Linked DNA regions of Neurospora crassa OR74A. The protein of the gene in region 5 interacts with the protein of the main gene of each other region in a biochemical or structural test. Links are inferred from orthologs where the notes say so. Each region holds a gene or a part of one and is shown on either strand. Other genes may lie near its edges.

Evidence for each region.
Region 1: the proteins of act (region 5) and NCU06397 form a complex in vitro, tested with the Saccharomyces cerevisiae proteins (4 studies listed by BioGRID, with this or other methods). The link is inferred for Neurospora crassa OR74A from reciprocal best matches to the Saccharomyces cerevisiae genes ACT1 and PFY1.
Region 2: the proteins of act (region 5) and NCU01587 form a complex in vitro, tested with the Saccharomyces cerevisiae proteins (12 studies listed by BioGRID, with this or other methods). The link is inferred for Neurospora crassa OR74A from reciprocal best matches to the Saccharomyces cerevisiae genes ACT1 and COF1.
Region 3: the proteins of act (region 5) and NCU08008 form a complex in vitro, tested with the Saccharomyces cerevisiae proteins (5 studies listed by BioGRID). The link is inferred for Neurospora crassa OR74A from reciprocal best matches to the Saccharomyces cerevisiae genes ACT1 and SRV2.
Region 4: the proteins of act (region 5) and NCU01440 form a complex in vitro, tested with the Saccharomyces cerevisiae proteins (3 studies listed by BioGRID). The link is inferred for Neurospora crassa OR74A from reciprocal best matches to the Saccharomyces cerevisiae genes ACT1 and MYO2.
Region 6: the proteins of act (region 5) and bni1 form a complex in vitro, tested with the Saccharomyces cerevisiae proteins (4 studies listed by BioGRID, with this or other methods). The link is inferred for Neurospora crassa OR74A from reciprocal best matches to the Saccharomyces cerevisiae genes ACT1 and BNI1.
Region 7: the proteins of act (region 5) and fim form a complex in vitro, tested with the Saccharomyces cerevisiae proteins (2 studies listed by BioGRID). The link is inferred for Neurospora crassa OR74A from reciprocal best matches to the Saccharomyces cerevisiae genes ACT1 and SAC6.

Annotation. Positions count from the first base shown.
Region 1 is NC_026504.1:2,646,474-2,650,219, reverse strand, and holds NCU06397 (profilin), read right to left. Parts: upstream 2,549-3,746; 5' UTR 2,100-2,548; coding exon 2,087-2,099; intron 1,971-2,086; coding exon 1,955-1,970; intron 1,769-1,954; coding exon 1,684-1,768; intron 1,444-1,683; coding exon 1,291-1,443; intron 1,153-1,290; coding exon 1,018-1,152; 3' UTR 574-1,017; downstream 1-573. Other genes in the region: NCU06396 (Got1 family protein), read left to right, coding at 1-227. UniProt on the Saccharomyces cerevisiae protein: Binds to actin and affects the structure of the cytoskeleton. At high concentrations, profilin prevents the polymerization of actin, whereas it enhances it at low concentrations. By binding to PIP2, it inhibits the formation of IP3 and DG.
Region 2 is NC_026502.1:3,015,373-3,019,597, reverse strand, and holds NCU01587 (cofilin, variant), read right to left. Parts: upstream 2,869-4,225; 5' UTR 2,638-2,868; exon of another isoform or gene 2,409-2,637; 5' UTR 2,287-2,408; coding exon 2,284-2,286; intron 2,189-2,283; coding exon 2,178-2,188; intron 1,824-2,177; coding exon 1,637-1,823; intron 1,248-1,636; coding exon 1,125-1,247; intron 1,028-1,124; coding exon 887-1,027; 3' UTR 596-886; downstream 1-595. UniProt on the Saccharomyces cerevisiae protein: Controls reversibly actin polymerization and depolymerization in a pH-sensitive manner. It has the ability to bind G- and F-actin in a 1:1 ratio of cofilin to actin. Binding to F-actin is regulated by tropomyosin.
Region 3 is NC_026504.1:3,897,098-3,901,397, reverse strand, and holds the start of NCU08008 (adenylyl cyclase-associated protein), read right to left. Parts: upstream 2,840-4,300; 5' UTR 2,570-2,839; intron 2,420-2,569; 5' UTR 2,317-2,419; coding exon 2,273-2,316; intron 2,010-2,272; coding exon 1,760-2,009; intron 1,692-1,759; coding exon 858-1,691; intron 801-857; coding exon 360-800; 3' UTR 1-359. Other genes in the region: NCU08007 (PfkB family carbohydrate kinase), read left to right, coding at 3,728-4,300. UniProt on the Saccharomyces cerevisiae protein: The N-terminal domain binds to adenylyl cyclase, thereby enabling adenylyl cyclase to be activated by upstream regulatory signals, such as Ras. The C-terminal domain is required for normal cellular morphology and growth control.
Region 4 is NC_026505.1:4,738,466-4,742,656, forward strand, and holds the start of NCU01440 (myosin-2), read right to left. Parts: upstream 2,841-4,191; 5' UTR 1,885-2,840; coding exon 1,750-1,884; intron 1,638-1,749; coding exon 1,505-1,637; intron 1,418-1,504; coding exon 1,228-1,417; intron 1,167-1,227; coding exon 1-1,166. UniProt on the Saccharomyces cerevisiae protein: Myosin heavy chain that is required for the cell cycle-regulated transport of various organelles and proteins for their segregation.
Region 5 is NC_026505.1:5,085,410-5,089,569, forward strand, and holds act (actin, variant), read left to right. Parts: upstream 1-1,360; 5' UTR 1,361-1,696; coding exon 1,697-1,703; intron 1,704-1,843; coding exon 1,844-1,874; intron 1,875-2,020; coding exon 2,021-2,076; intron 2,077-2,194; coding exon 2,195-2,225; intron 2,226-2,303; coding exon 2,304-3,075; intron 3,076-3,139; coding exon 3,140-3,370; 3' UTR 3,371-3,371; exon of another isoform or gene 3,372-3,440; 3' UTR 3,441-3,838; downstream 3,839-4,160. Other genes in the region: NCU04174 (hypothetical protein), read right to left, coding at 4,113-4,160. UniProt on the Saccharomyces cerevisiae protein: Actins are highly conserved proteins that are involved in various types of cell motility and are ubiquitously expressed in all eukaryotic cells.
Region 6 is NC_026505.1:4,767,617-4,771,860, reverse strand, and holds the start of bni1 (cytokinesis protein sepA), read right to left. Parts: upstream 2,910-4,244; 5' UTR 2,363-2,909; intron 1,945-2,362; 5' UTR 1,567-1,944; coding exon 1-1,566. UniProt on the Saccharomyces cerevisiae protein: Required for the assembly of F-actin structures, such as actin cables and stress fibers. Nucleates actin filaments. Binds to the barbed end of the actin filament and acts as a leaky capper, slowing both polymerization and depolymerization.
Region 7 is NC_026506.1:2,369,735-2,374,066, forward strand, and holds the start of fim (fimbrin), read right to left. Parts: upstream 2,849-4,332; 5' UTR 2,435-2,848; coding exon 2,412-2,434; intron 2,338-2,411; coding exon 2,127-2,337; intron 1,994-2,126; coding exon 313-1,993; intron 251-312; coding exon 216-250; 3' UTR 1-215. Other genes in the region: NCU03993 (hypothetical protein), read left to right, coding at 3,159-3,161, 3,214-3,411, 3,494-4,332. UniProt on the Saccharomyces cerevisiae protein: Binds to actin, and functionally associates with actin structures involved in the development and maintenance of cell polarity.

The DNA.
Region 1 (3,746 bases), on a different chromosome or scaffold from region 5:
AGGCCAAAGGTACGGCGGCTTTTTTCTCCGGTCTGGCTTTGATTTTGATGCGCTGGCCTTTGATCGGCTTCTGCGTGGAGCTTTATGGGATCATGATCCTCTTTGGCGACTTCCTGGGAACGATAGCGGGTTTCGCGCGCAACATTCCTGTTATTGGACCTTATATCGGCACCGCGGTTGATCGGTCTGGTGTGGTAGCGAGGCAGAATGCGGATTTGCCTGTTTAAATGGAGGGATTGAGTGTTGAGGGGAAAAGGCGAGGGCGCCGTGGCATAGTGCAAACGTGCCGAACGAGGATATGGTCTGGGCCATGGCGCCGCTCTTCGAAAGCTCACGAATACTCGCTTTGCCGTTCGGTTGAATGACATCGGCGGGTCGGGCGCAAGACAGGTTCAGCGCTCGCGCTATGAAAGGGAGGGCAAAAGAAAGAATACGAGGCGAACGGGAACATGAACGAAGAAACGACGGTTGTGAAACGAAAAGGAGAGGGAACGCCTATGAAGGGTCTAATGCCCACGATCAACATGCACATTCACACAAACGGCGTTGGAGCGAACTTTGGGATACCCAAGTTGTAATATGAAGAGGGAAGTATCGGGCTTTCTTTTCATGCATAATTTTGAGAGGAAGAATCAAATACTATAGATGGTTCCGGGGTGGGGGGGGTGTTAAATTGTCTACAAAATCACGATACCATATAACCCCAATGATGGAACAACGGACGAGGAACGTTTTTCACCACCGGCAGCCTCGACTGACATGGAAAGGCAAATTCCGCCAAAGTGTGCTGTCAGTTCCAGAAAAAAAAAATTCCCAAGGGCCTATGCCTGTTTAAGGATATCATCCATCCAGTACACCAGTCCCCAATACTCCTTCACAGGAAAGTCTTTCGGTTTCTTTTCCGTCTTCCCATCTTTCGTCTTCCTTGTCTTCATCCCGTTTTCATTTGTTTCTTGTTCAGTGACTCTTAAGACATCCAATCATCTCATCCTTCTTCCCACTACCTCCCGACATGACTTAGTATCCGGCCTTGACGAGGTAATCGGCGAGCGCCTCGACGGTCTGTGTCGAGTTGCCGGCGACAGCGTTCTCGCCGTAGTGGGCGACGAGGATGGCCTGTGTTGTCTTGACGATGATGACGCCAGTCTTGCCCTATTTTTGGGGGGAAGAAAAACCATCAGTGAGCTTGAACATACGAGGCTTGGAAAGGGGATGCCTGGAGCAGCGCGGCCGACTAAAGTTCGGGCGTCTGAGGTTGAGACACGATAAGGGGATAGAGATAGTACGCACCTGGCGACCGTAGACGTGGCGACCCTCGATGTTGAAGGCAACGTAGCGCTGACCGGCAACGTGGAGACCCTCAGCGAAAACCTTGTCAACGTTGGAGCCCTTGCCATTATCGCCGAGGACGGCGGAGATGAACTTCATCTCATCGGGGCTCAGCTATAATACGTCACAGATTGTTAGCTTTCTCTGGAACTTTGGCGCCCGATACATCGTCGGGGGGTCCTATCACGCCATCAACCCCGCTCTCTGCTTCCCCGGTGCAAACAGCCTCCCTGACCAGGATTTCTCGGACATTGTAGATGTCCGACCGTTTATGCGCCCGAAGGAGAGACAGAGATGAGGGCAGGGAAAGGGTGCGGGCAGAAATCGGGGGGAAGTTGGCGAGACAAGGCGTACCGTGAAGCCGGGAGTCGCAGCCCAGGTGCTGTCACCAGCGGCGCTGATGATGGCGGCCTTATCGATGTGGCCGGTGCCAACAAGGCTATATGTAGGAGATTACGTCTTAGCTCATCATGTCCATGTCCGTTTCCATGTACAGGTGGTTCTCCGCATTCTTGGGGCCGAAGCCGAACAACCATCAGGCGCAGGCAATCACACCCCTAGCAGTCGATGGCGTCGCAATTCGTTGTGTTCATGGGTTCGGGTGGTTTCCAATGGTATATCGTACCTCGAGTCAACATAGGCTGTTCAAGACATTCGGGGTTAGCTTGCTTATTCTCCCAGCTTCCGTCGAGGTGGGGTTGGGCGTGAAACAGCTCCCAAGGACGGGAAGAGGGCCCAGGCGGAAACAGGCACTGACCTTGCCAGGACATTTTGTCGGGATTTGTGTGATGTTGGTGTGATGGAAAGGACTCGGTGGTTGAGTTGAAGGAGGAGTGTATCGACAGACAACGACGACGAAGAAGCTGGCTTTCGGGGAGGATTAAAAAAAGGGAAACCCAAACAAACGCGGCTCGGTTGGCAAAGGGGGGAGGGGGGCCGGTAGTCTTGGGGGGGCTAAGCGGCGGCGGAAGATAGCGGAGCGGCGACTGGATACCTCTATGGATTGGATGCGAAAAGGGGAAGCGGTGACATGACAGTGGAGGGGAACGACTCACTGGTCCCCCTGGGATTCTAGTGGGCTAAACCGGGAAGCCAGCGAAGGCCAGCTGGTGAATGGGGCCGGGTAACGGTGCCTGGTGGTTGTGGATTCCCGTTGTGTGGATTGGAAGAGAAGCTCTTGAGAGGAGCCCCCTCACCAGCCAGGCCCCTCCTCGTCACTAGGTAGGTTCAGCGAGGTGCCCCGCCAAAGGAAGTTGCCTGGACGTTGACCTCTTCGGAGTCGCGGAGGGGTTCGGCAGGTGAGACTTACTTGTACACTAGGTAGGTATGTATCTCTTTAACATACGATCGTATAAACTCAACACGGTGATTGTTAGCAGACAGCCTCTAGGACCAAGCATCCTTCCATCGACTCCCAGCGGCATTTCCAAGCTGGATCGACGGGAGCAACCGAAGTGGTCAACAGTGGGCCCCTCTTCAACAAACAGGTGGCAGCTTCTTCTTCATCCAGACTTGGAATTCTTCACCGTTCTTTTGCAGGGCCGTGGAATTCCACGACCCCATTCCGCCTCATTGACCGCCGAGACGGACAGCAAGAAGAGTTTGCTGTCGTACTCTCGACGTTTCAGTCTGACATCAACAACAGTATGAAGATATTCTGACAGACGTCCATCTTCTCTGATGCTGTGCCCCAACACCATGTTGGGTTCATTGCTCCGATGCCCCTCATTCATCTCAACAAAGAGGAGCAGCAAAGTACGCCCGTTGTCTGCATGGCGCACACATCAGTGAAGATGATGACGGGGTTGGAAAGCACAGAAAACAGTTTGCATATGACGCCAAGAGGGTCAAGCATTCGGATCCATCCCGCTGTCGTCCCAACAACAAGCGGAGCTCCTTGAATGCAGACGCATGCTCTAGCGTTCGGCTTGCCTCGTGGATGTCGGTTAGTGCACGGCGAATCAGAGATCCATTCAGCACCTCTTTCCTCTAGACCTCCATTTCATCCAACATGACAAACTTCAACAAAGAGACGACGGGACCCAGGCGCCAACAACAGGCACAAATCCCTGAGGTATAAGCTACCTATCTAAAGGTATGGTGAAAACCAAAGGTTACCTGTTCAAGCCGGCAGCTCCTATATCATACGAATCTTGGCTCAAGGGCGTGTGATGTCCAGGGTTCCAGTCAGGCAGGCTGTCGCTGACTGGAGTTGTGCATCTTTGAGACGTAGCCTCGACATTTTCGGATTCATAACCGGCCCCTTTTAACATCATTAAACCGAAGTCTTGGCGCGCTGGTGGACATCAGAATTGCTGGCCTGAGAGTCTAGCGCCTGGCTCTGACAGCATGGTAAAAGACGTACACATGTAAGATACACCGCATGCTTCGTACTTCTTCGACAGTCATTACCAAGG
Region 2 (4,225 bases), on a different chromosome or scaffold from region 5:
ATAATTACTCTTTTACCGACACTGATGAAAGGAGTGTTTTGAAGGGCCGTGAAGTGATGAAGGAGAGGTGGTCAAGATGTGAGTGGAAATTGAAGTGATAATTGTGATAACATGATGAAGTGGGTAATGAGTGAGGTGACTAATCCGATGTTCAAGCAATAAGGCTATCCACTGTAACTGAAGAGAGCTAAAGTTTCTTACAAGAGCCAACCGATGTGCGCTCCTGGGGCATGAACAGCTACAAAGTACATCTTCTACTTTGCAAACATTGGTGGTTATGGCGATGTAGTGGACACATATATGGGTATGTACAGATCAACATGTTGACGAGGTCTCACCCTGTCTTCAGATCTGCTAAGCATACATAGTAGATCGATCGGTCTATCCGCGATAGAATATACGGGGAGGAACACGTTTTTCACTCTGACGTGGGCGGGCTCTCCTAAGGTGCAACAACACAAACGAAGAATGCTGTCGACAATGTTGCAGAGCTAGACCGGGAACCGTAAGTTGGGTATCCCTTTTCTCATGCATAGACTTTACCTTGATAGCGTACCTGACATCGACATTGAAAAATGAACTCCTCGCAAGTGTAAACAGAATAGAATATCTGAAATTTCCAAACCAAAGCGGATAGTAATATGAAAAATTGAGTTGAGTAAGTGGAGGAGAGGTGGTGGTAGTCTGGATGTGGTAAATGGTATTTGGCAAGTACAAAATAAGTAGCGTGTGGTTTATATTGTCATTACAACAACGCCGACAGCGACAGCAACATAAGGGACACCATCTTTCGACTATGTTCGCAACGCGCAACAACATCAACAACAACAACTCATCTCTCTTCTCTTCTCTTCTCTCTCTGTTCTTAATACGATTATGGAGAAATCTATGCGGCAGTACCCTTGCTCACGGTCTTGATAATCTGTTCGTACTCGATGTCGTCCTGCTCGTTGGCCTGGAGCTCGACAGCGATACCGCTGAGAGAGCGCTTGAGGGCCTCCTTGGAAGAGGCGTAGACCATCTTGGACTGTTTTATTTTGGGGAGAGTCAGTTAGTTCGACTTGTTCGCTTCGGGATATATATATTTGAAAAAGAGTCGGGAGCAAACAAAAAAGGGAACGCACCTTGATGCCAGCATCATCGGGGGACCAGGCGATAAAGGTCACCTTGTTGCGGGAACCCTCGCCAGACGCAAGCTTGTACTCGAAATCGTAGACGGCATATCGGGGACCCTTGCTGATGGCGCCCTGTAACGGTTGTGATTCATTAGCGATCGGCGCTCTCCCGAAGATAATCATGTTCCTCCGTTCGATCAAGTCCACAGAACATGCCACGACAGGGGGTTGACATGTCTTGGCAGTCCCCTGTGTCTAACCGCCTTTTTGTGAAAGAACCCCTCAATTCCAAGACCCCTCCTCCCGTCCTCCCCCCCTTTTTTCCCCTTCCAGGTAGGAGAATAAACAAGACAAGTATTCGCCCGCAATAGAAAGGGACTATAAGAGTGAGGATGGGCGGGGAGGAGGTGATGGTGATATCGGGGGTCCGTAAAGTTCTCTTTCGCATTCTGGGCTGGATTGGGCTGGGAGTTGGTTGCGACACTGGCAGCAACCAGTCTCTAGGGAAAGAAAGGACCTACAGAAGCGCTCTTAGTCTGGGCGTTGACGAGCTTCTCGCGGAACTCGTCGTAGTTCTCGGTGGCGCCCTCGCTGGTGCTCTCAATGACAATCTCCTTGAAGTCGTCCGAAAGCTTGTAGATGATGTACCTGAGCTGACGGGACATCAGCTTGTCGAAAGCCCTCCGGCACTCGGGGTCGACCTGAACTCTGTAGAGTGACGCAAGCAGAGTACGTTAGCTATTCTGAGTTCTTCCATGTATTGCGTGTTGTCGATGCTGTTGTTGTTGCTGTCTTTTGCGGGTCCCGCTCCCCATGTCCCAGCGCGCTAGCTACCGGCCGCCAGATGCTACTCTGTCGCTGCTGCGTGATATAGGATGGAGGGATCTCGAGATAATGGGCTGGTTGCATCGCGGCTACGGACGGGCAACGGGCGGGCAAGGCGGCGATAGGGTAGCGTCAAGTTATTGCGGTTCCTGAATCCATCGGTGAGGATGATCCAGGGGCAGGCAAGCAAAATGGCGGGGAGGGGGGTAAGATGTAGCAAGTTCATGGAGGACTAACCCAGATTGAGACTGCGACAAGGCAAAGGAGTCAGCGACATGTTTCACAAGCAAGGTGCGGGGGGCGGCGCGCGTTAGGAAAGGGGGGGCAGGAGAGAATGATTTACCATGATGTCAAGTTGTGATGTGGTGGTTTTGTGAAAGTGTTCTTGTCAAAAAGTCGACGACGATGGGTGAACCGATCGCGAGAATGGGGGGGGCGAGCGTTATATGTGGAGAGGGGAGCCGAAAGCTGGATGGCGCGGGAAGGTTGTCAGTCAGTCGGGTCGGGTCAGCACAACAGGGACGGACAGTAGAAAAGGCAGTCGGGGGGCGGAGCGAGGCGAGGGGTAGCAACATGGAAATGGAACTCGAACTGGAAAAGGCGGCGGCAAGGGGACTGGAACTGTAAACTGGAGCACACGGCGGCAAGGCTACAACTCGGTCAAGCTAAAACCTCGCTGGCGAATATACGTACGTACAATTAGGTAGAAAGAGTGCTATGATGGGATGGTTCCGTTGTATGTAAAAGGTAGAGAGCCGGGAGTTGTCAACACGAGGAAGCAAGGACGGGGACGGGGGACGGAGACCGGGAAGAGAGCTCTTGGGAAGAGACCTGAACTTGAAGGTTGGGAGCCTGACGCGAAAGGAGCGAGGGGTTCCATTCCCGGGCACCGTCAGCCAGCACTCGGCCAGGCAGAGAGAGGCCAGGGCGCCGACGGATGCCACCATTCGTTGACCACACAACCACCTCTATTCTAAGCACCGGCCACTGGGCAGTGGATGGGCACCTCACTGCCAATCTGACCCTCTAATCTGCTCCAACACAACACCACAGCTCCAACATCAGCCCCAGTCCCCCCCTTCGCAAAGCAGGGCAGCTGCTGGCCAGTGAACAGCATTGTGGACTCCTCCGTCCCGTCCGTCACTTTGGGTGTGGGCTCCCAACAGGCGGACGGAGAGGGACGGTGCAGAGTGGATCCCGCTCGACGTCGATACCAGTGGTACGTACCCTCAAAGTGAACGACGCCGGCGTGATACCTAGTAGTGTAGTTCCAATGCCTGCTTACCTACCATCCATAGAGAGTGAAAGGGAGGGCTGCCATTGTGCGTTCATCAGCCATATAGTAAACTTGGCTCTTCTGTCACAGCGAGGTGATTTGCGTCTTTCACGAGCCCGCAAAAGCTGTGATGAACTGATGATACCGAACAGAGCAGGGGTTGGCCGGCGTGAACGACGAACAACACGGGAAGCTCTCGATGAGATTACGTTTCACCACCAGGGAAATGAGTACGTCGTCTTTTATGTACACTGGCTCTCGACAGTCACCTCCCTCAACGCGCGTTTATCATTCTCGGTAATCGAAAGGATTTGTAGCCGCCAGGCAACAGTGGGCAGTTACCTGTTGGATCTCGAAATTACAGAAGTGAAAACGGTAGAGGTAATGAAACTGGATGGAGGCTGGATGGAGGCTGGATGAAGAGGTTGAGGTGGATGTCGATGAAGGGGGGAGGGGCCACCGCCTGGAAGGAATCCTTATGAGATGGTGGGGTTGCTTGTTGTTCCGTCGACAGTCAGCTCCGTCGTCAACAGCCTAACTGCCCTGAAGCTGAGTGCTGTCTCCATGTCGACGGGAGTTCGTTGTCGTCTGCGAAACGAAAGCAGACGGTTGGCCATGTGGCTTGCACACCGAGTTGACAGCTCTGAGCCTCTGCAGCGACGGGGAGACTGCCACCTGGTAAAAGAGTCCCACTACACTTAAAACATGTTTACTTGGCGCCGTTTCAGTGTTGCACCATGCAATTTCTGTTCCACATTACCTTGAATTCGTCAACCTCTGTCAACCGGGCACCACCAAACAAATGATTGGCCCAAGCTCCCATCACATCGACGTTCATCCAATTCACAAATGCGTTTCCAAGTTCTGACAACCAACCCATCTTGATATCTCACAGCCACCATGGCAACGCAAGCTTCTCACGGACTTTTAGGCTTCAATATCAGCAAATGTCCGCATGCCAGACAATTGAGTATCAAAAGATATGCCTTCCTAGTAATACATCAGCTTC
Region 3 (4,300 bases), on a different chromosome or scaffold from region 5:
GATGAGAAAAGTACTACGGCGGAAATGGTCTAGACAGAGAGACATGCCATAAACAGCCAAGTTTTGTCATTGATAGGCAAAGGTGTTCGGCGTTTTTTTCAATTGAAATAGGAACGTCATGAGATGATATGGTTCTTGAAAATGATGATGGGTACTGTCGAGTTGGCATACCTGCGGGATTGAAGATGATTTCACGCCCGCTTCAGAACATGCCATCCACGAATATTCAAATCAAGGCGTGCTATTATGTAAATTGGAGAATATGTGACAACAACGCTCACGATCAGAACCAAACGCCACCTCGCATCAAGCTACTCACTTTTTCCGACAATCTCGACGAAGCAGCGACCAAATATGAATTAACCACAGTGAGAAACGATCTCGCTGATAAGCTCCTTCTTCTCGGGATCGTAATACGAGCAGATTTGGGAAGGAAGAGGAAGCTCCTTGGAGTCGTCGTTCTCGTCCACAACCATGATATTGACGTTGTCCGTCTTGCTCTGGAACACCCTTGTCGAGATGCTCTCCTTGCTCAGCCAGATTGTGGCTTGCTCGACTTGATCCAAAAGCACAGTGGGGATCGTCTCGTTGACTTGGAGCTGGAAGTTCTTGGACCTGACAACGTCGACAGTAGAAACAAGAGTGTCCACAATAAGCGACACCTTGTCGCAGTTGTCAATGTTGACAGCGTTGGCCTTGCCCTTGACGACGATGACGACTTCATTACACCTGCTGATGAGGATGGACTGGGAAATGGAGGCCTCGATCTCAACGTTGCCAGCGGCAGCATCGTAGTTTTCCTAAAGCACTGTCAAAAACCTTGAATTTACACCACAATGTCCGGCTGGAGAACTTACAATAATCCACTTGTTGCCCTCGAGAGCCTTCTTTGCAGGTTTCTTCGCACGCATACTCTCAGGCTTGGGCGGCTTGGTTCCAGGCGGCGCAGGGCTCTTGGACCGTGCCGCTGGTCCGTCGGGAACGGTTGATCCTGCCCTGAGGGAAGGGTTCTTGTGTGTCATCTGCGACTTGTCGACCTTCTTGAGACCCTTTGTAACTGCTTCGCCCTTGTTGAGCTCAGACATGACGGAACTGAAACCACCCGGTTGGGCCGGTTCCGCCTTCTGCTCATTAATCTTGAGTACCGGAGGAGGTCCAGGAGGAGGAGGTGGCGGAGGAGGAGCTCCTCCGGACGGGGCTGGAGACGCGGCAGGTGCCGAGGGAGCGCTGCCGGATTCAAGACACTGGACGACCTCCTTGTAAGGCTTGCCGTTAGGGTTCCACACAATGCCGTTGTTGTAGTAATCCTTGGCATATTCCGACAAGTCTTTGAAGATCTGGTAGAAGGTCTTGACCCATTCTGTATGCTGGGGATCAGTGTTTTTGTTTGCCTGCATGACTCTGTTGCCCAGGTATTCGGCAGATGACAGGCTTTCATCAATGAGCTTGTCAGGCCTAGACTGAACAGTGATCCAAGCGAGGAGCATGATTCCATCGGCCACCATGCCGAGGTGGTTGAAGAAGGGAGAACCGCGGTTCTTGTCCTTGATTTCCTGAGTGGCCTGGATGGCCTCGCTGATAGGCTTGATAGCCTCCTGGAAATCGACCGAGTTCATGTCGAGCTTCTTGGACTGGGAGGCGGCGAGTAGGAACTTGCGCGTCTCGGCAAATCCCTTGAGGACACTCGCAGCCTGATAAAAATGGTCAGCTTCCCGCTCTCTGCCCACAAAATAGATCCAGAACTGTGCAGGATAGGTACCTGCTCAGCAACCAAGCCACCGATAAGATTGCTGGTCTTAACATATTTCTGAACAGTTTGGTTCAAGAAGTCGTCGAACTTTTCGACAGATTCGGGAATTGGTACTGCGGCAGCGGGTGCAGGAGTGGACACAGCAGTGGACGCGGGGGCGGAGGGGGCGGAGGAAGCCGGCTCAATGACGGCCTGGGAGCCAATAGGGGGGATGGTGGACGAAGCCATATCCTCCAGACGGAGGGTGGCCGCCTCAAGTCTGCGCAAGTACTTAGCAACGTGCCTTGACCATTATTCACTCGTAGTCTTTTTTTTTTCTTTCTCGCTTTGCGCCGATTTTTCTGGCGCATTCCTTGCTCGGGGACTGGATCTTCGTCGTCCTAGCCTCAGAGCGGCTCCCATGGAATCGGCATGGCTAAGAATGCGCCAGGTAAAATAATGGGCAATGCGGGTGTTGTAGAAGAAAGCAACTATTCGTAGGTGTGGCGATATCAAGTTGCGGTAAAGAAAGCTGAAGCGTACCTCTTGATCAAGGTGACCAAGTTGTGCATATTGTTGGTCGCCATTGTGATTATGATGGTCCCTTAGGCGGGACTTTGGAAACGTAGTAGGCTTCGCGGTCGAGTAATATAGAAGTTGGAAGGAGCAAGGTGTACTCTGTGATTAGAACTGTCGGTGCCAGCTTGCGGTATTAGCGATCCTGCCTTGATGATGATGTGAAGAGAGTGCCGTGGGCAGACCCGGATACCTCCGGTGGAAGAGAGCTCGTTGAAACAGAGGGAAGGTATCGTCCTGAATATCTTGATGAGAAGCACTTACCCTTTTCGCTGAACCGTATAATTTACAAGGAATAAGAAGATATCGCTAGATGGAGAAAGAGGAAGAAAAGAGTCCCGAAACTTGCACAAGGAGGAGGTCTGGGAAGGTGTAGTTAGGTGCCCCAAGATCTGCTGTGCTGGAACATGGGATGTCTGAAGGTTGACGGTCCGGGCTGACAACTCGTCGATTGGAACCCCTCGTCACACAACCCCTACCTAGCACGGGCATCTGCCCCTGGCGCCTGCCATGCTTGTACACTGCCTACGGGCGGCCACAGTGTACGGGGCACACCTTCTGTAGACGCAGCACGCTAGGTGATGAGCTGCTTCCCCACGATAGCTTCATAGTGGGGTCATGGTGGGTCGTCTCATCCATCGTTTAAAATTACGCGTTTCGGGACATCCTCCAACAAGAAAGAACGAACACCTTGCTGGCCGCTCTCACGACTCTGCAGTAGACTAGAGTGCACGGCCACCAAAAGCCCGCTGGGCGTACAGGCACCATCCACGCCTCATATCCACATATGAGTTACCACCTCACCAAGCATACCTAAACAAAAACAACAAGTCACATCGTGCTACTGCAACCGGATCAACAACAAGCACTCTCCCCGTTCAGAAGCTCGCTGCTTGTTTAGCTGTGTATATACGAGAACGGTAATGCTGATGCTGATGCTGAAGACTTGACATGAGTAGGTCTGCACAAGCAGTCATTTAAAGTGTCGAGGATCGAGATGACAGGATCGATCCCATAACCTCCCGTCCCGCGGGTCCGTCCCCTTTCTCCATTCCTACGCCTCGCAGTAAAAAACCTACCCCAGATAGCTGATTCTAGCTAATAAGACGTTGAGTTATCAAAACATCAGGCTCTTTATGCTTTATGCCGCCTGATGGTCAGGCAGAAATAGCAGACTAGCAATAGAGGTAGCCTAGCCAGTAGCCACATCAATATCTACATACGCGTCCATCTTTCCAAATAGGTCTTCATCCCTCCATCGGTGTCTCACTCTCATAACCCCTTTCAGTGTCACTCACTTACATAGCCCACACCCACCTGTTGTCTATCATCGCCTGGCCGTTGCCGCGTCGTACTCGCATACACTCCTTTCAAGCGTCCACTACAATTGATTGATCCTACACAGTCACCACAGAGAACAATATGACAGACAATAACGGCAACCCGGAAGTGCCCGGCCAAAGTCCAGACGATGTTGACAAAGCCTCGGATGAGAGCTCAGAATGGCAAGATATCAACGACACTCCCTCAATAATAGACTTTGTCACCCTCGGCATGTTCATCATCGGTAAGTGCCCAGGAACCACAATCAGGCACCAACTAAGCACCCCATCAGATGAAATCGAATACCCTCCGCCCCGTCCTCCATCAACCAACGTCTTAGGAGGCGCCGGCTCCTACTCCGCCCTCGGCGCCCGCCTCTTCTCTCCAGCTCCGGACCTCTCCCGCACCGTGGGCTGGATCGTCGATCAGGGCTCCGACTTCCCCCAGGCCATCACCGATCTCATCACCGGCTGGTCCACCTCGGCCGTCTTCCGCCATGACCCCACCCGGCTCACCACCCGCGGCTGGAACGGCTACGTCGGCTCCTCGGAGCGCCGCGAATTCAAGTACACCACTCCCAAGAAACGACTGACGGCCGCCGACCTGGTCGGAACCCCCTTGTTGAAGGCTAAAGCCGTGCACATGGTCTGCAGTCCCAACCGCTGCAAAGAG
Region 4 (4,191 bases), about 350 kb from region 5:
ACTGCTCGTCGGAACCCATGGGTAGTCTTGATTCCTCGTCTAGAAGGGACAGGATACCAAGTTTGCCCTCGATAAGGTCAATGCAGGGCTGGTTGTCAGCAAAGTCGATGAAGGTCCAGTCAATCTGCTCCCTAAGGTATTCCTCCTGCTCCAACTTGAACACATGCTGGTTGAACTCCTGCTGAAGCTTCTCGTTGGCGTAGTTGATACAGAACTGCTCGAAGGAGTTCTTGGCGAAATGCTCGAAGCCGTAAATATCCAGAACACCAATGAAGGAAGTGACTCTGGTGAGGACCTCCTCCGAAGCAAGACTGTGATTGATGATTTCGACGAGCCAGTCGAACAGACTCGAGTAGATGTACTTGGCAACGGAATCTCGGACAACGATAGCCTGCGCCTGGGTCAAGTTGGACACGATCTTTTCACCACGAGTGACCAATTGCTTCTTGACGATCCACTTGGCAAATTCTGGAGCATCGATGCCGAGAATCTCGCAGGCCTTAACCAGCGATGGTTCGGAAGGATCGAGGGAACTGTCGTTTCGCATGGCACCAATCTTGACATTACCCAAGTGGAGGAGACCAGCCAGAAGCTTGAAGATCTCCGTTTGCTTGCCCTCGTCAACACCGATGGTCTTCAAAGATGCCTTGGTCGCATTGAACTCGGCCTTGTCATCGACGCCATCGATCGTGGGGGTGTTACCCTGGTTGAGGTACTCGAACTGTTCAACGGGAAGCAAGCCCAATTCCTGGCGCTCCTTGTCCGTCACACCAGCAACCAGCTGGTAGAAAATATGGTAGTTTCTTTCCTTCAACGGTTGGAAAACCAACCTCGATCGCTCGAGAAGGTAGGTCCTGATCTTGGCACCGATAATGTTGGTGGCCTTGTCAAACATGATTTCGATGTATTTACCGAATCGCGAGGAGTTGTCGTTTCTTGTCGTCTTTGCGTTACCAAAAGCTTCCATAATCGGGTTCGTAGCCAAGATAGCCTCCTCGGTCTGGCTCATAGACTCGTGGCCACCCTTCTTTACTCGTGATCCGGGGCTGTCGGGCGATTCTCTTGTCGCGAAGTATCTCATAATGTACTTGGCACTGACAGTCTTACCGGCACCGGACTCACCAGACACGACAATGGTCTGGTTCTTGCCATCGCGCAACATGTCCCTATTGTTATGTCAGCGATTACAAGTCAACATGAATCGTCAAATTGGCAAAGAGCCCATACATGAACGCTTCCTCAGCAATGGCGAAAAGATGGGGAGCTTGGGTTGCTCTTTGCTTCCCGGCATAGACTTGAACCATGCCTGGGACATAAAGAGAGTCAACCCGCGCGAACGGGTTTGTAGCTATTAGAACAATACCCGAGTATGTGTAGATTTCCTTCTGGGCATATCGAAGGCGGATAGCCTGAAGCACTAAGCACAGCACATGCTATCAGCATCACGTTCTCGGAGTGCGCCCGATGGCGGGGCGAGTCAGCGCAAAGGTGTGTGTATATTTACCAGCAGGCTCGTTCAGATGTGATAGGTTCGTCAAGTCATCACTGGCTTCGAGCATTGTTGGGTTCATCAAGGGCGGTAGCGACTCATGGCCGCCTGACTGGAGGGCCTCGAGGGAGACCTCCACGGTCTTAGTCTGCAGGCAGTAACACATGTTAGCATCTTGAAGCGCACCAGCCCGCAAAGCACGTAAACCAAAGCACAAAAGTCGGAATATGCCGAGACTTGGGAAAGCATAAGCTACCTACCTCGCCATTCTCGCACTCGAAGATAAGAGTGACCTTGTTGCCGTCTACTGTCTTCTTGACTACTTCAGAGGCAACCCAACCCTCGGTAGGATCGGGCTGCCAGGCTCGAGTGCCAACATCATAGCTCTCCGACATTGGATGCGCTTGTATCGGTGTATTCTCGAGGGAGAGAAAATCGGCGCGAACCTGCGAGTCAGGAGCAAGGGGGAAGAGATGTTGTGGTGGGATTTGGATGGCTTCAAGAAGCCAGTTCTAGCGGCGGAACGGCCAGCACGGCTAGGGGCGACGGGGGTGGATAGGGATAATGGTGGACCGTGTCTGTTATGGCGGACGCAACGACCGGAATGAAGAGCGGTCCAGGATGCTAGTTCGGTCGCGGAAGCTTGGAATCCAAGGGCCGGCGGGAGTGTGGTGCTGGCGAAGACAACATTCACGAAGGGAATGGAAGAGGGGGAAATTAGATACAAAAATAGGGATTGGACGTGGAGCAACACATTAAAGAAGTATAGAAAGATGTTGCTATCGTGCGGGCAACGGAGCCCAAGCCGACAAACAAGGTGGTCGAAGACGATGTAGGTCTAGGAGTTCGAAAGGGGGTTCGGCTCGTGTCGTCGGACCGATGGGAGTGTAGCGCGGGCTGTTCTTGGACGAAACAGCTGAAAGATGTTGTTGTTGCTTTTGTTGTTTGCTTTGCGTGCCCAAGGGAGCTAGCTGGTAGGTGTTTGGCTGACCGGGAATAGGTCAGGTCCTGTCACTGTGTGTAGGACAGGAAGGTTGTGGAATGCCGTATAAACGGGGCGGGCAGAACGGGCGGAGCGGGGACCCAACACACTGCCTTGCGGTGGGAGAACGGATTCGTCGAGCGGTCGAGTCGGGTTCTCTTAACGGTGGCAGCCTCTCTGTATAGAAGTGGCTGATGGTCGAGATAGCACCTGTGGATGAGGGAACGTCCTTGATGTAGTAGCCTGTCGGGCCGGTGTGGTCAACAACCAAGTCAAAAGTCGGGGTAGGCGAGAAGGCGGGACGACGAGACGGGATGTCGTTGAAAGTTTAGGGGTAGGCTTCCGCTTGTAGTGTAGCTGAGGTGCCCGGTGATGATAGAGCACTGGCGGGCCGTCGTGGTGGCAGGCTAACAGCCCGGCCGACGTTCACTTCCGTTGACAGGGGCCCCGTTGTTGTGGATGTTGAGGTGGTCGGTCTTTGGCGGCCACCGCCCAATTGGGTGCGTCGCTGGGCTCGTTGCATTAACACCGAAGCACGGACTCTTTCGTGGGCTTGGGGAGCTGGACTCCATGGAGCCCCTCCAATGAGCCGTAATTCCCAAATGACCTGGACAAGCAGGGCTCTCCTTAAAAGGGGGCACTAACCAACACTGCGAAGAAGATTACATACCTAGAGGTATGCTTGGGAATCCCGCGACTCTACATAAGTGGAAAGCTACATAGTACACAGACAAGGCGAAGAAGAACAATGGGTGACTGGCACCTCTAAGCAGCGTATAAGGGTTACCTTTGTCTTGTCCGGAGAGGTGTCCAGTGGAAGACGACATGATGTACAAGATGGGTCACGATGTCCAAGTCTACACTCTACCTTGAGATGTACAAATGTGTCTCTGGAGGCTCACGCCAATGGGTGAATAACCGTCAGGATATCCTATGAGGACGACCATGTTTCTCCTCCTGATCTATAGCCCTCTTGATTTGTATGGCTTCATCGTTCTCATTATGTACGGTCTTTGGTCTTCCCCTGAGTTTCTGTATTTCTCCCCGACAGCTCACCGGCGCCCCTCATCAGGGTAGCATTTCGTTTACACAACTCCCTGAAGGAACTCACGGAAGTAAGGCCCAATCTTACCAGACTCCCATGGCCAATTGTTTGCACTGGTCCGTTCGTTCGTTCATTTGTTCGTTCGATATGCCATCCAACTGGGTCCCCGTCTGGCCCGTCTGCCCGCTTGTTGACAGTTGAAATGCATTAACCTGTCCGCCTGAAAAGGAGAGAGATGGGCAAACTCAAAATGGGGCATAGTGTAAATACGTACCAATACCTCTATGGCATTGATGGGTGGACCGGGCTGAGTCTGGCACCATGACAATCAATTGCATTTGCGTTCAGTTCCTTCTTCTCTTCTTTCTGGAATCTGCAGGGGTAAAAAGAGCGCCAGCGAATGGCGGGTCGTCAAAGACTGTGGAAACTGTTGGAGACTACCTACTTACGGGCCCCACCAGGCCCCCCGTGCGGCCGGCAGCCCGAGTATCGGGGCCTGGGACTTGGGAGGAAAAAAAAAGGGGAGGGGGGGGGGGGGGGGGGGGGAGAAAGGCGGTGCTTTTGGTGGTTTGCCGCCGACTCCGCGTCGTCGCCGCCTTTTGTCTGCTCCGTGGCCGGATTGACGACGAGTGACTACTGTTACAATTCAGAGTCAACACCGTCCCTCACTCGGAC
Region 5 (4,160 bases):
GATGGTGGGATGAAGCAGACGCCAATAAGTGGGTGGTGGTGGTTGTGGTGGTGGTGTTGGACTGTGGCAATACCTCGTTCTCATCCCCAATGAGATGGCGTTTCCTTGGAAATGACACCGCTGCTGGAGGTCCCCGTACCGTATGGACCCAAGTGGTGCATACCGTAGGCTACATATCTATCTCCGTCGGATCCCGGACCGGGGCGGCCATGGAGCCTTCAAGACACTCGGGCCCCGGGGCCATGGGAATTGCGATCCGGACAAGCTCCAAGAGATCGTGATCAGCCAGGCTCCAACAGAAGAGACGGTAAAGAAGACATTGGATCTTCTGGAATTGCAATCGCGGTTCTCCAGGAGGAGTAATAAACAAGTAATGAACGGGGTACGACAAGGGACAGCGACCAGGTACGACGGCAACGACGCAGGGGAGGGACATTAGGTTGAAGAAGACTGAACGCTGACACAACGTCGGGGGCGGACCCAGCCACGCACCACGCTCCCACCGTGCTCACTAGGTACTACCTACGCTACGTACAACTGAACCGTCTGTCTAGCTGCACCCGTCGAACGGCACGCAGCGGTGACGACCCCGGCCGTGCTGCGATATGATATCCTTTTACATAGTATACAAGTCAGGTCGTGTAGGTATCCAATGTAGTTAGGTAGACTGAAATCAAAGGGGATCTTGAACGGGCTGCCAGTTGCCAGACGGGCATTGATGTCAACCTAGACGTCGCCTCCGAGGTGCGGAAGCCTCCCAAAGTGTGTTGGCGGCAGGAAGATCCCCTTTGCCCTCCCAAAATTAGGCGGTGTCTCCTACCCACTTTCCAGACGGATCGCAGGCCACTCAGGAATCCACCTTGAGCCACCTCGAATCAGGCATGATACTGCGACTTGACAACTTGTCCACGAAGATGCCAGAGGGCAAGGGGGCGGTGCGGCCAGTGATTTGATGATTTAGAGTAGGGGTGTGGAAAGCGAACAGCGAGGGAGAGGGGACGGCCTGGGAAGAAGGCAGCGCAGTTACCTCTAGGTTTGTACTTGTAGTCTACTGTGGTGATCCATCCCGTCGTGAACCGGGCAACATGGAGTGCAGGCAGCGCAGCAGCCCGGCGAGGATGAAATGAATGCTTGTTGGGACCTGGAAGTCGGCCGGGCACTCACTGTCAGTACCACTCAGTGACATCGGTGTCGTCCTTGCCCGCCTTTCCTTCCTCCTCCTCCTCCTCCTCCGCCGCCAAGTCCCACAACCACGCCGTGAGGTGACCAGGCCCAGTCCAACCAACTGGACCTAGCAGCCAGCAATGCCCAGTGCAGACAGTCCCGGCCCAGTCCCGTCCCCAATGGAATCAACCGTCCCCTCCCCTCCCCCCCCCAGTCCGCCATCCGTTCCCTCGCACCTGGCACCACAGCAATCCCATCCCCTTACCTCCCCTACCTTTACCCCCCTCAATCCACCCGCCGCCTCGTACTCCCAAAGCTGACCTTAAATTCACCTCCCCTTTTCCAACTCTTCCGCCTACCGAACAACATCCAAATTTTTGCCCAAACAACGTCTCTACGTCCTTCGGCAACACCTCTCTCAGCCAAAGCATCATCGCTCCATCGATCCGGGAATCGTCGAGCGTATTTAATAACTCTTCTTCTGTACCTTTTGCTTAATCCGACACTTTTCGTCACCACCTAATCTATCACAATGGAGGGTACGTAACAACATGTCCACATTCCTGCCCAGTCTGCCCGCGCTGGCGAGCTGGTCGCCGGCGGATCGGACTTCTACCATCGCCATCTCCCTCTACTGGTTATCATGGGCACAAGCTGATTCATGCGTTCCCGCCAACAGAAGAAGTTGCCGCCCTCGTCATCGACAATGGGTAAGCTTTCCCCTCCTTTTCGCCTGCGCCTCACCGACTCCTAGGAGAAGCGTCATATTCCTCCCGCAATCGACGCCTCGCGGCCCCCCCATAGCCCGTTCTACATGGTGAACAATGACGATGGACAGTAGCTAACAACCGCCCAGTTCGGGTATGTGCAAGGCCGGTTTCGCCGGTGATGACGCCCCCAGAGCTGTTTTCCGTAAGTGTTCCCACTATTCCCGCGAGGTGCTCTTGCTTGAGACGGGCAACGTGTCAGCAGAGCTACTTGCCTCCCCGCCAAGACCCAACGTCCCAGCCATGCTAACATGTCGCGATAGCTTCCATCGTCGGTCGTCCCCGTCATCATGGGTATGCATGCCACTTTCCCCCCCGCGTCCCGTGCGCGCAACACTCCAAGACTTTCAGAAAAAACTGACAACATGCCAGTATCATGATCGGTATGGGCCAGAAGGACTCGTATGTCGGTGATGAGGCTCAGTCCAAGCGTGGTATCCTTACTCTCAGGTACCCCATCGAGCACGGTGTCGTTACCAACTGGGACGACATGGAGAAGATTTGGCATCACACCTTCTACAACGAGCTCCGTGTCGCCCCCGAGGAGCACCCCGTCCTTCTTACCGAGGCTCCCATCAACCCCAAGTCCAACCGTGAGAAGATGACACAGATCGTTTTCGAGACTTTCAACGCCCCCGCCTTCTACGTCTCCATCCAGGCCGTCCTTTCTCTCTACGCCTCCGGTCGTACCACCGGTATCGTCCTCGACTCCGGTGACGGTGTCACTCACGTCGTCCCCATCTACGAGGGTTTCGCCCTTCCCCACGCCATTGCCCGTGTTGACATGGCTGGCCGTGATCTTACCGACTACCTCATGAAGATTCTCGCTGAGCGTGGTTACACCTTCTCCACCACCGCCGAGCGCGAAATCGTTCGTGACATCAAGGAGAAGCTCTGCTACGTCGCTCTCGACTTCGAGCAGGAGATTCAGACCGCTGCCCAGAGCTCTTCTCTCGAGAAGTCCTACGAGCTTCCCGACGGTCAGGTCATCACCATCGGCAACGAGCGTTTCCGTGCCCCTGAGGCTCTCTTCCAGCCTTCCGTCCTTGGTCTCGAATCTGGCGGCATCCACGTCACCACTTTCAACTCCATCATGAAGTGCGATGTCGACGTCAGGAAGGATCTCTATGGCAACATTGTCATGGTAAGTCCCCGTTCGCTGTGGAGATGGCAGTATAGGCTAGGTCCGCTAACAGAATCGTCACTAGTCTGGTGGTACCACCATGTACCCTGGTCTCTCCGACCGTATGCAGAAGGAGATCACTGCTCTTGCTCCTTCTTCCATGAAGGTCAAGATCATTGCTCCTCCCGAGCGCAAGTACTCCGTCTGGATCGGTGGTTCCATTCTCGCCTCGCTCTCGACCTTCCAGCAGATGTGGATCTCCAAGCAGGAGTACGACGAGAGCGGTCCCTCGATCGTGCACCGCAAGTGCTTCTAAAGTGGGTGCCCTTGAGAGGTGGTTGTTGCAGTTGGAAGCGGAGCGTCGTCGGCTTACACCATGTATGTAGTTCAATAAATGGACAAATCCACGACTGTCACGAGCCAGCGCCAACTGGGGACATAACACCCCTATCTGCGTCAAGTAGCATGTCTGCATTGCGCGTGTATTCTGCACAGGTCTCTCTTATACAAAAAGTAGCGAGCGTGGTCAGAAGGGGGCTGGCGTCTCTTTTCTCTACTAGAAGACATAAATAATGGCCTTTTTTTTCTGTTTTCTGGGTGGGCGGCGACGGCTGCGAATGCGTGGGATAGGCGCGGTCAAGTATGCGGGCTTCTTGATCTTGCCAACACCCTTTCTCTATTTACTACACTTTTAGCAGCAAGATTTAGTCACCACTGGGAAATTCGAGGTTATCGTGGATGAAGAGATCATCAAAATTCAAACAGCGTTCTGTATTTCTGAGCACCTTCAGCTGCCCTTTCGTTGGTCGTGAGATACGTGCAAGCCAAGGAGAAAAGGGGAATTGCTAGCCGTCAAGGTATCGGATCCACCGTAATGTCTTATTGACTTGAAGGGGAGGCGGCCATACCTACCGAATCCAACTAAGCGATCCTCACCGCTTCAGGAACCGAGTAACAAGCAGCCGTTTCCTTATGATCAAACATGGCCAGGATTGCAAACCAGTGGCAGAAACCACAGATGGCTTTTCGCTGACACAATGGGTAGGTATTCTTACTGTCTAGTGTCTACCGCCATCCGCATTGTTTCCTCCGCGCTTCTCAGCCTT
Region 6 (4,244 bases), about 320 kb from region 5:
CCCGCGGCCGTCGACGGTGACCTCAACAAGACGCATCCAAGCATCGAAGCGCCCGTTTTCGCCTTGCTGGGCCTTAACGACGTCCATGGCCTCGATGACCTTGACATGGCCCTTGCCTTCGCCCCAATGGCAGAGGAATGTCAGGACTTCGCTGACAAGCTTCCGGGTGGTGAGCCGAGGTGATATAAGGGAGGTGGCCAGAGCCACAATAACCTGTTGGTGAGCTAGCGCATCGTCTGCGCCAAACTTGTTGTTCATAAGAGCCTTCAAACATTTGACAATGTCATATTCTCGGTCCAAATTCTTATCCAATCTTCCATTATCCGGCTGAGCAGGTCCATAGGCAGTCTTTCGGTTCATCTTTAGCAGGACATTGGTCAAGGCGATCTGTCCCTGACAGTCGATGAAGCGCTTGACCCAGCCGATCTGCTGTGTCCGAAGGTTGACTTCGAGTCCTCCGAGCCCTTTGCTGTCCAGAGCGTTTTCCATGACCTTGCGCACATACCACTCGGGGCTGCCTTCGTCATCGGAGGATTGGGTAATATCGACATTGCTGTATTGGCCAATCTTGGCCGTCTGTCTGCGCTTCTGTTCGCCCTGCCACTCGGTGAGTCGATCCTGGTAAATCAAGGTCCATTTCTTCGCGGCGGGGTATGCGATCATCTGGCGCTTGGCCTGGTCCGGGAGGTTGTGCCATCCTCGCTTTTGCATCAGGTTTATGAACATCTGTTCAATCACATTGTCATCGTCTGGCTTGGGAAAGTTGAATCCTTCGGAGCCCTGGTGGCCGGCAGCGACCTTGGTTAACCGCTGGGTATCTCTGTCCTTATGGGCATGGGGAGAAAGGTAGGATGACTGAGACGAAGTACTAGGGAGTCCTATCCTGGATGAGCGATGGCTGGTTCCTGGGGCTTCTTGGTAGTGTCCGTCCCTACCTGAGTAGATGCTGGCATTGTCGCCCGAACTGCGGGTTGTCATGTACGAGTGGCCTCTGGAATTGTACCCGGGCAAACTGCTCTCTCTCGGTGGTCCCCATTGCTGAAACTGGGCCTGGCGGCCCGTGGAGGCCATGGTGATGTTAGCAGTAGCGAGAGTTGAGCGCGAACTTGATGCGCTGGGTGACTGCCCATTATAGGGGGAGCTTGGGCTTTGGTCGATGGTGGGATACTGGTGGAAGTCACCAGTGCCTTTGTTGAGGTGGTGCGGTACTAGCTCTCGCCTTAGGGGCATTTGGTCGGGCCTGGGAAGGTGGTCGAGGGCGACGGGGGAGCGATTGTCGGGGGAAACAGGGTCATAGGGGATCGTCGTGACGACCCCTGCCGTCATGTTGAGGCCAGATTCGGGCGTGTCGGGACGGTCCAGCGATATTACAGACGAGTCCCGGTAATGGCGCGAACTGCGTGCGGTATGGGTGCTGGCGGCGTCGTTGTCGGCGGCAAGGTATCGGCCACCCTCATCGCTTGCGTTCCGTTTGTCGGCCTTGTTCTTGCCAGTGGCTCTCGAGAAGAAGGAGGAGGCCTTGCCGCTCGAGGAGGTAGCCCTCCCATTCTTGTCGTGGGAGGACATGGCGCGGGACGGGATGTGTGAAGCGGCCGCTTCGCTACCGGCAGGGCAGTACACCAGAGTACAGTCCCAGCAGCGCAAGCTGCCTACGTGTTGTTCGGGGGTGGTTCCTCAGCAATAGGCGAGCGGGTATCGTGGGTATCTGGATCGCTGTAGAGGGGCGTCGAGGGGTGTCGAGGGGCCGGGCCGGGTCGGGTCTCGTCTCGAGGCGCGGAGTGGGTAGTTGTATAGGCAATCAATGCGCGGGTGGGTCAATTGGTAAATGAGTGCGTTGAAATGGATACGGAGCAAATGCCGTCAATGGACTCGGTGTCTGAGGCCCTGGGTGGATCGCATCATGTTCTTTGCGGGCAATAACGGTTGGTGAGCATGGCCTTCCTGCTGCATGAACCATTGGTGTTTTTAGCATGAGGTCAAGTTGAGGAGTTCGGAGGGTAGCCGTGCCCGGGCAAGCTTTTGCGCAGAGGCGGGCCTCGAGATAGGCTAGCTGCTAGCACTGCTAGCTGGTGGGATGAGCGCACTCGGGCGAGATGTGTATGGATGTGTGCTGACCCAAACTAGACTGCATCGAGACCGTGTTGGCAATACAATCCAGATCTTCGAAGGGAATGGAACTCAAGTGAAAGTCAAAGGGGTCAAGTCGCAAATGTACGAGCGGGCGCAAATATCCGTACCCGCGTCTGTCCGTGTAGCGTAGCCGGCGAAACCTGGAAATACCTAGGTAGTAGTGTAGGATGTCGTCGACTTCGACTTCTGGATCTCGTGTTGGAAGTATAGATAGAGTACTGTAGTTACCTACCTAGTGTGTAGTGTAGAGGCAGTATACTGGCGACCTGGCTGACGGCAAGGAGGGGTGATGAGTAGGTAGGTATGCGACGCTCAGCTCGCTCACTACCAAAAGTGCCAGAGTACTTAGACAGCTACGCCGAGGCTGAACTAGGAGAAGAACAAAATGCCGTTCGTTGGTCAAACCGTCAGGGCTCGTCAGGGACGGACTCTCCCGTTCGAGGGGTCTGGTGGATTTGGCCCAGGTCGTTGGCGGTACCTAACTTTGGGGTGGAAGCGCGCGCGCGCGTGGGGCACTGGAGGGCCTGTCTTGGACGGGCTTAGTTACCCACTCGGACGAAATTGAAGGTTGATTTGAGATCGGGCGGCAAATGAATGGTGGTCTTCTATGAGCGATGATTGGGAAAGAAAAGGAGCAATGGCAACGACGACGGGTGGAGCGTTGTCCGGTGGTGGCTGGCTCACCCGCGAATTATCAGCTATAGAGACAAGCTCGGGAAAAGGAGAGGCAGAGGCAGATGACCATTCAGAAGTTGCAGCGAGACTGGACTGAGGTGAAGTGGTTGAATGAGCCGAATGAGAGATCACTTGAGAGAGAGTGAGGTTGGGGTTCCTTGCCGTGTGAACGCGAACCTAACAACGCTCGGCAATCGCAGGGGCAACTCCAGCATGGCGCGGGAGGGTGCACCGTGCACTCTCTTAACAGCTGCACCTTCTGGTGGGAGACCTCAACATCACGGCAAAGGGGGTCTCGATGCGCTGAAAGCGGCTTAGCTGGGCACATCATCACCCCTGATGTCTTGAATCACAGGCGGGGAATTTGTTAGTGGTCAAGACGCAGGGACTGTCCGGGTTTCTTCCGTTCTTTCTTTTTCCCATCCACCATCCGAAACATCCATCATCTGAACCTAACCGATGGTTCATATAAGTGATGGAACCACAAATCGGCACAGAATAGGATGAAAGAAACTCAATGATAGAAACTTGTCAACTGAGCACTGAAAAGGCCGCTGGTCAACCTGAAACAATACGCATAATGGTGATAAAGGTCATCTTCGTATGCATTGGTGGCACATTCAGCGGCGCCATATATGTCCACATTACTATGTACTGCGTACATCCATACAATAGCATAAGTAGGCATAGCGGCTGGAACTATGACTTGGCTTAATCCTCCACCTTCCCAAACTGCCCCTGGTGGGGGCAGATTGATATGATGGAATCACATCGAACTGGTATTAAGATTGGCTCATGATCCCTTGCCCAATCATCACCGTTCTATCCGAGTATCATCATCCCTGCGTCTCACTATCCCAACCAAAAGAGGTCAAGATGATCTGAAGACAAAAGAATAAAAGTCCTCAAGCTAGAGGTATGAGCGAGAAACACACTTGTGGAGGTCCAAAACTGTATAGGAACAGATGTTGTTGGTTGGAAAGACATCCTCTGAGATCCCTACATGAGGCCGTCGATACCCCTGGATCATCAGGGCAGTTTGTTAGGTTTCTGCATCTCATCAACCTTGAGGGTGTCGTTCCGTTGCTATTTTGGGCCCGGGCCTCGCTCAGTCGGGCCATGCCACAGAGACCCGATACATGGAAGGGCCGGGTGAGCCCAGTCCAGGAACTCTACAGTGCACTGTTCCACAACGTCTGGGCTGTCAAGCCCAGGTGGCTACAGTATGTACTGCGCGCGCAGTTAGCGCAGGTACACCTTTCCGCACGCGATTACGTGCCGCATTTGTATATGTTACATAGGTTTGTCGCAAGCGGAACCTCCGTAGGCAACAGGGGCACTTTACGCCGCGGCCACCACTTTTGGCTTGTTCAGCCTCATAGCCTTTTATCACAACCTCAAGGCCTCTTCAGCCGAGACTATCACATTCTGTAACTGGA
Region 7 (4,332 bases), on a different chromosome or scaffold from region 5:
CTTTGGGATTCCCGGTGCAACCATCGGGTAATTGAACATTTAATGTCAAATGGCTTGGGAAGGTGAGGGGTTGGTACCAAGAGAGAATAAACATTCGTAAAACGCAATTCGCCTGTTCAACTTTTTAAGTCCATCGCCCTAACAAGGCTGTATGTTTATATTCATCTCCAATTATCAAGCAAGACCACTTCATCATTTCTCGTTATACTTGGTATCTACTGCATCTTGTCATAGGTAGCCATCAACGAACCTAGTGCATGTGTTAGCCCGGCCAGTCAAATGAAAGCCCAATAATCAAAAGGAGCAACTTACCGATAAAGGTCGTGACCAAGCGGCTGCGCACCTGGCAGATATCCTCTGGCACCAGCCAAATAGTGGCACCCATCTTTCTGGCAATGCTGATACTGAGTTTGGCATTGAGGTAAGCATCTTCATCAGTCTTGCCGGGAGTAACCAAGTCATAATCGACATAGTTGCTCTGCATGCCGTTAAGCACATCCAACAAGAAAATACCCGAGCCAATGACAGGGTCCTTGAACGAGCGGATGCTCGAGTTGCGGCCGCCCTTGCGGCTCATCTCGTTGGCCCATCTGACCATTTCCGCATCCGTAATCTCGCGCTTGCCGAGGCGTTGGGCTAGACCGTGCAGGGTAAGGGTAATGTCCTTGCGCATCAGCTGCCAGACGAGACCCAGGGTCAAGGTGCGCTGACCATCCGTGATATCGGCACCCTGGATACCAACCAGGGAAAACCCGTTCTGCTTGCCCAACTCGATCGCGTAATTGGTGTTCTCGACGGCCTTGAAACGCAGCATCTCACCGCCATGCGCGGGAGCCTTGTTGACGTGGCGCCAGTTGACGGAACCCTTGATAACCTTGTCATATGCTTGTAGAAGGACGGTACCATCGCGGAGGTCGTCGAAGAAGGACTGAACTGCGGGGTTGACGTCCAAGCTGTTGAGCCACAGGGTAAACACACGGGCCTCACGCTCGCCTTCAGCGTCAAAGTCCTCGACCTCAAGCTTCTCCTCTTCAGTGATGGGGTCAAGCGCGGGGTGTGTGTTGAAGAGGTTGGCAACGAAAGCGAGGTTGAGCTTGGGGTTACCGGCCACGAGGGAAGAGGGAGAGAGGAACTTGCGGCAACCGAGCTTGTCGGCGTTCTGAAGAACCTCCTCAGCCCGCTGATGAAGGTCGCGCGTTTGCAGAGGCGCCCTCGTGCAGCCGTAGTCGGAACCGATCTGAGCGAGGAGGACGGTGTAGTTCTCGGCATCCTTGACGTCAGAGGAGAAGTTGGCTACCCTCCTGGGCCAGTTGGCGGCCTTGAGATGGTAGTTGAACCAGCGCAGGAGAATCTGCTCAGGAGGGAGTCTGAGGAACTGCTCGAGGGTCTCGTCCTCCTCGAGAAGGCGGTAGAGCTCGGGGTGGAGCTTGATATCGATCTTGCTCAGCAAGCCCCTACGGATGATTTGCCAAATTAGACCCAGGATAAGATGCTCCCTGACCTCAATGATATCCGAGCTACCAATGTTGACGACGGAGCAGCCAATACCCTTTGCCGACTCGATAACAATGTTGTTGTTTTCTGTCATCTGGAACGCGTTGAGGGTCTTGGTCTTCTTGCCGGGCATGTTCAGTACACGCTCATCGATGGTATCGGGAACGCTGTCGTTGATGAGCTTGGCCAAAACCAAACCATCCTTGCACTCGTCGAACATCTCGAAGGTGTCGGTCGGGAAAGGCAGGCGGCTGCCGATGTCGCGGTCGCCCGCAAGGACAGCGTTGATGTGGCGCGTGAATTCGGTACGTTCATCTTCGTTGATGGTGTGGGTGATGTTAGCGTTTGAGCCTTGGACGAAGATCTTGCCGCTGCCACCGACGGAGGGCTTCGATGCGTGGCTAGGAGTAGCGCCTCCCGTCCGCTGGGCGATGACAGAAGCGGGAGTTGACGGAGCAGCAGGGGCGCTGCCGGGACCTTCGCGGAGCTTCGCGACGAGCTACAGAGTGGAAAGTGTCAGCCAGATCTTTTGATGAATGGTACCTAGTATACGGAATGCGACCTGGGTGGCCTTCAAGAAGTGAGATGTATGTGGTGGTGCTGCAACAGTGGAGAGGAAGGCTTCGACTTACCCCAACGTAATCTTCGAGTTCTACACGGCGCGAGGCATCGAGACCGACTTCTTTGAGGGCCGCGCGGACGGCATCGTAGGGCTGGCGCTCGCTGGCCTGGGTGGCCTTGATGGCAGTGGTCTCGTCAATGTACCCCTTGTCGTCTACGTCGAGCTTGCGGAAGGCATCGGCCAATCCGAAGATGTCGCTCTGCTGTAGTTGAGGGAATTTCCTAGTTCCATTAGCTGTGTTCTGCTGTTGCCCCTGTCGTCCTTGGCTTTTGAAGGCCCGTCTTCGTCTTCTTACCTCTGGATCTTGAGGACATTCATGGTTGCGGATGGTGGTGTTGAAAAAGGGGTCGGTCGGGAACCACTCGTCTTGGTGATGAATGGCGCTCGCAAAGTGATCCGGCGGGAACCGTGGGAAAGAGATAGCCCCTCTATTAACAAAAGTAATGAAGACGCCCAATGCGGTCGTCGTTTATTAGATTATTTTCCTAATGGGTGTAGTGTAGGCGGTGCTGGGCTGGGTGATGAAGATGACTGGATCTATGGATGCTCTGGCGGAAAAGCGGAGTTGGATGTTGGGTATTTATTTGTATGAGTCCCGGTTCCTGCTGCTAATGATGGATGAAGTGCCTTATTCCTGCTCCCGTTTCATGCGTCGCCGGCCGAAGATGGGAAGCGAAGCTCAAAAGAGCATGGCCATTACAGGCGGGCGTCAAGGTACGGCTGGCGGGGGCGGGGACGCCATCCATCGCAATCCCCGAGACAAGCACTAACACAGCAGGTCCCAGAAGCAGTCTGATGTAATCGCCCAGCGTCGTAATGCCGTCGCGGCCCAATCAGCCATCCCTTCAGGCAGCCAGCCCGGCGACAACCCTGCCCCTGGTGGCCTGCCTGGCTTTTTCCACTTGCATTAGGTTGGATGGGAACCGTGAACCACCGCCAGGCTTCCATCCGTTTGGGTTAGGACTGGCGGGAGTTCTGTTAAGCGTGGACCTGTGCTAGTTTCGCAAATGACACCTCGGTTCCACATGCGACTGGCTCATTCATGGTGACCCCCCTGAGCGTCAGGACCCTCGCTGTACCTCACTAACAGCAAGTAGAGAATTTTACGTTCCTTTGATTCCATTCGCATCGTCGGGATAACCTCACATCTGTCTAAGCCACCACGACCCCAAGCATTTTTCAGCAAATCATTGAGGTTCTGCAAGAATTTGCAACTTGGGATTACGACGCCTCTATACGCGCGTTGTTTCAACCAAGTAAGAAACACAAAGTCACTACCTCACTTTTTGTCAAAGGTAAGTCACCGCATCAATATCTCATACTACCCACTGTTCCTCATCCATCCATCCAGTGATCACTGAACTAATCCCCAACCAGATACTACCACCAAACCCACACCACAAGATGTCCCTCTGCAAAGCCTGCTCAGAACCTCTCTACCTCGAAGTCGACCCCGACTACGATCTAGACCAAGACTCCAACGCCTCAGACAATGAAATGGACCAGGATCATGACAACGGCGGCCCCTCCTCCTCCTCCTCCGCCGCTCACCCCCAACAAGTCCCCGACGACCTCCTCCTCCCCTGCAACTGCCACTATCACTGGCAATGCCTAATGGACCTCTCCTCTTCCGTGGCCCTCTCTCTCCGCTGTCCCTCTTGCAACACCTACCTGCCCACCAACTCTTCCTCTTCTTCCTCCTCCTCCTCCTCCTCGGGGTTCTCAGGGTCATCGAACCCGGTGCCCGTGAGCGCGACCAACCCCGTCCTCCCCACCTCCCAGGGCCTCGCCATTCTCACCCAATACCACAACGAAGGCGGTGTCCAGTCCTCCCTCGACATCCTACCTGCCCTCACTGAAGAAGCCTACCTCTCTTCTAACCCTTCGGCGCGCCCTGCACGCGCTATGCATACCATGGCTGCCGAGGGCGACTTTGCGGGTATCATCGAGCTCCTAACGGACGTGGCCGCTTCGGAAGATGAGGAAACCACCATCACCCCCAGCCAACTGCTCACCTTCCGCGACCCGTTGAACGAGGGCAAGACGGCGCTGCATCTTGCTGTGGAGAATGGGAGAGAAGAAGTGTTTTGGTTGTTGCTTTGGCTGGGAAGTGGATTGCCGACCGAAGTGTTCCCGGCTGAGGTGGTGGAGGTTGCCAACGGGGTTGGGGTGGGCGAGAGGAGAGCGGAGGTGGGTGCGGAGGAGGATGTGAGGTG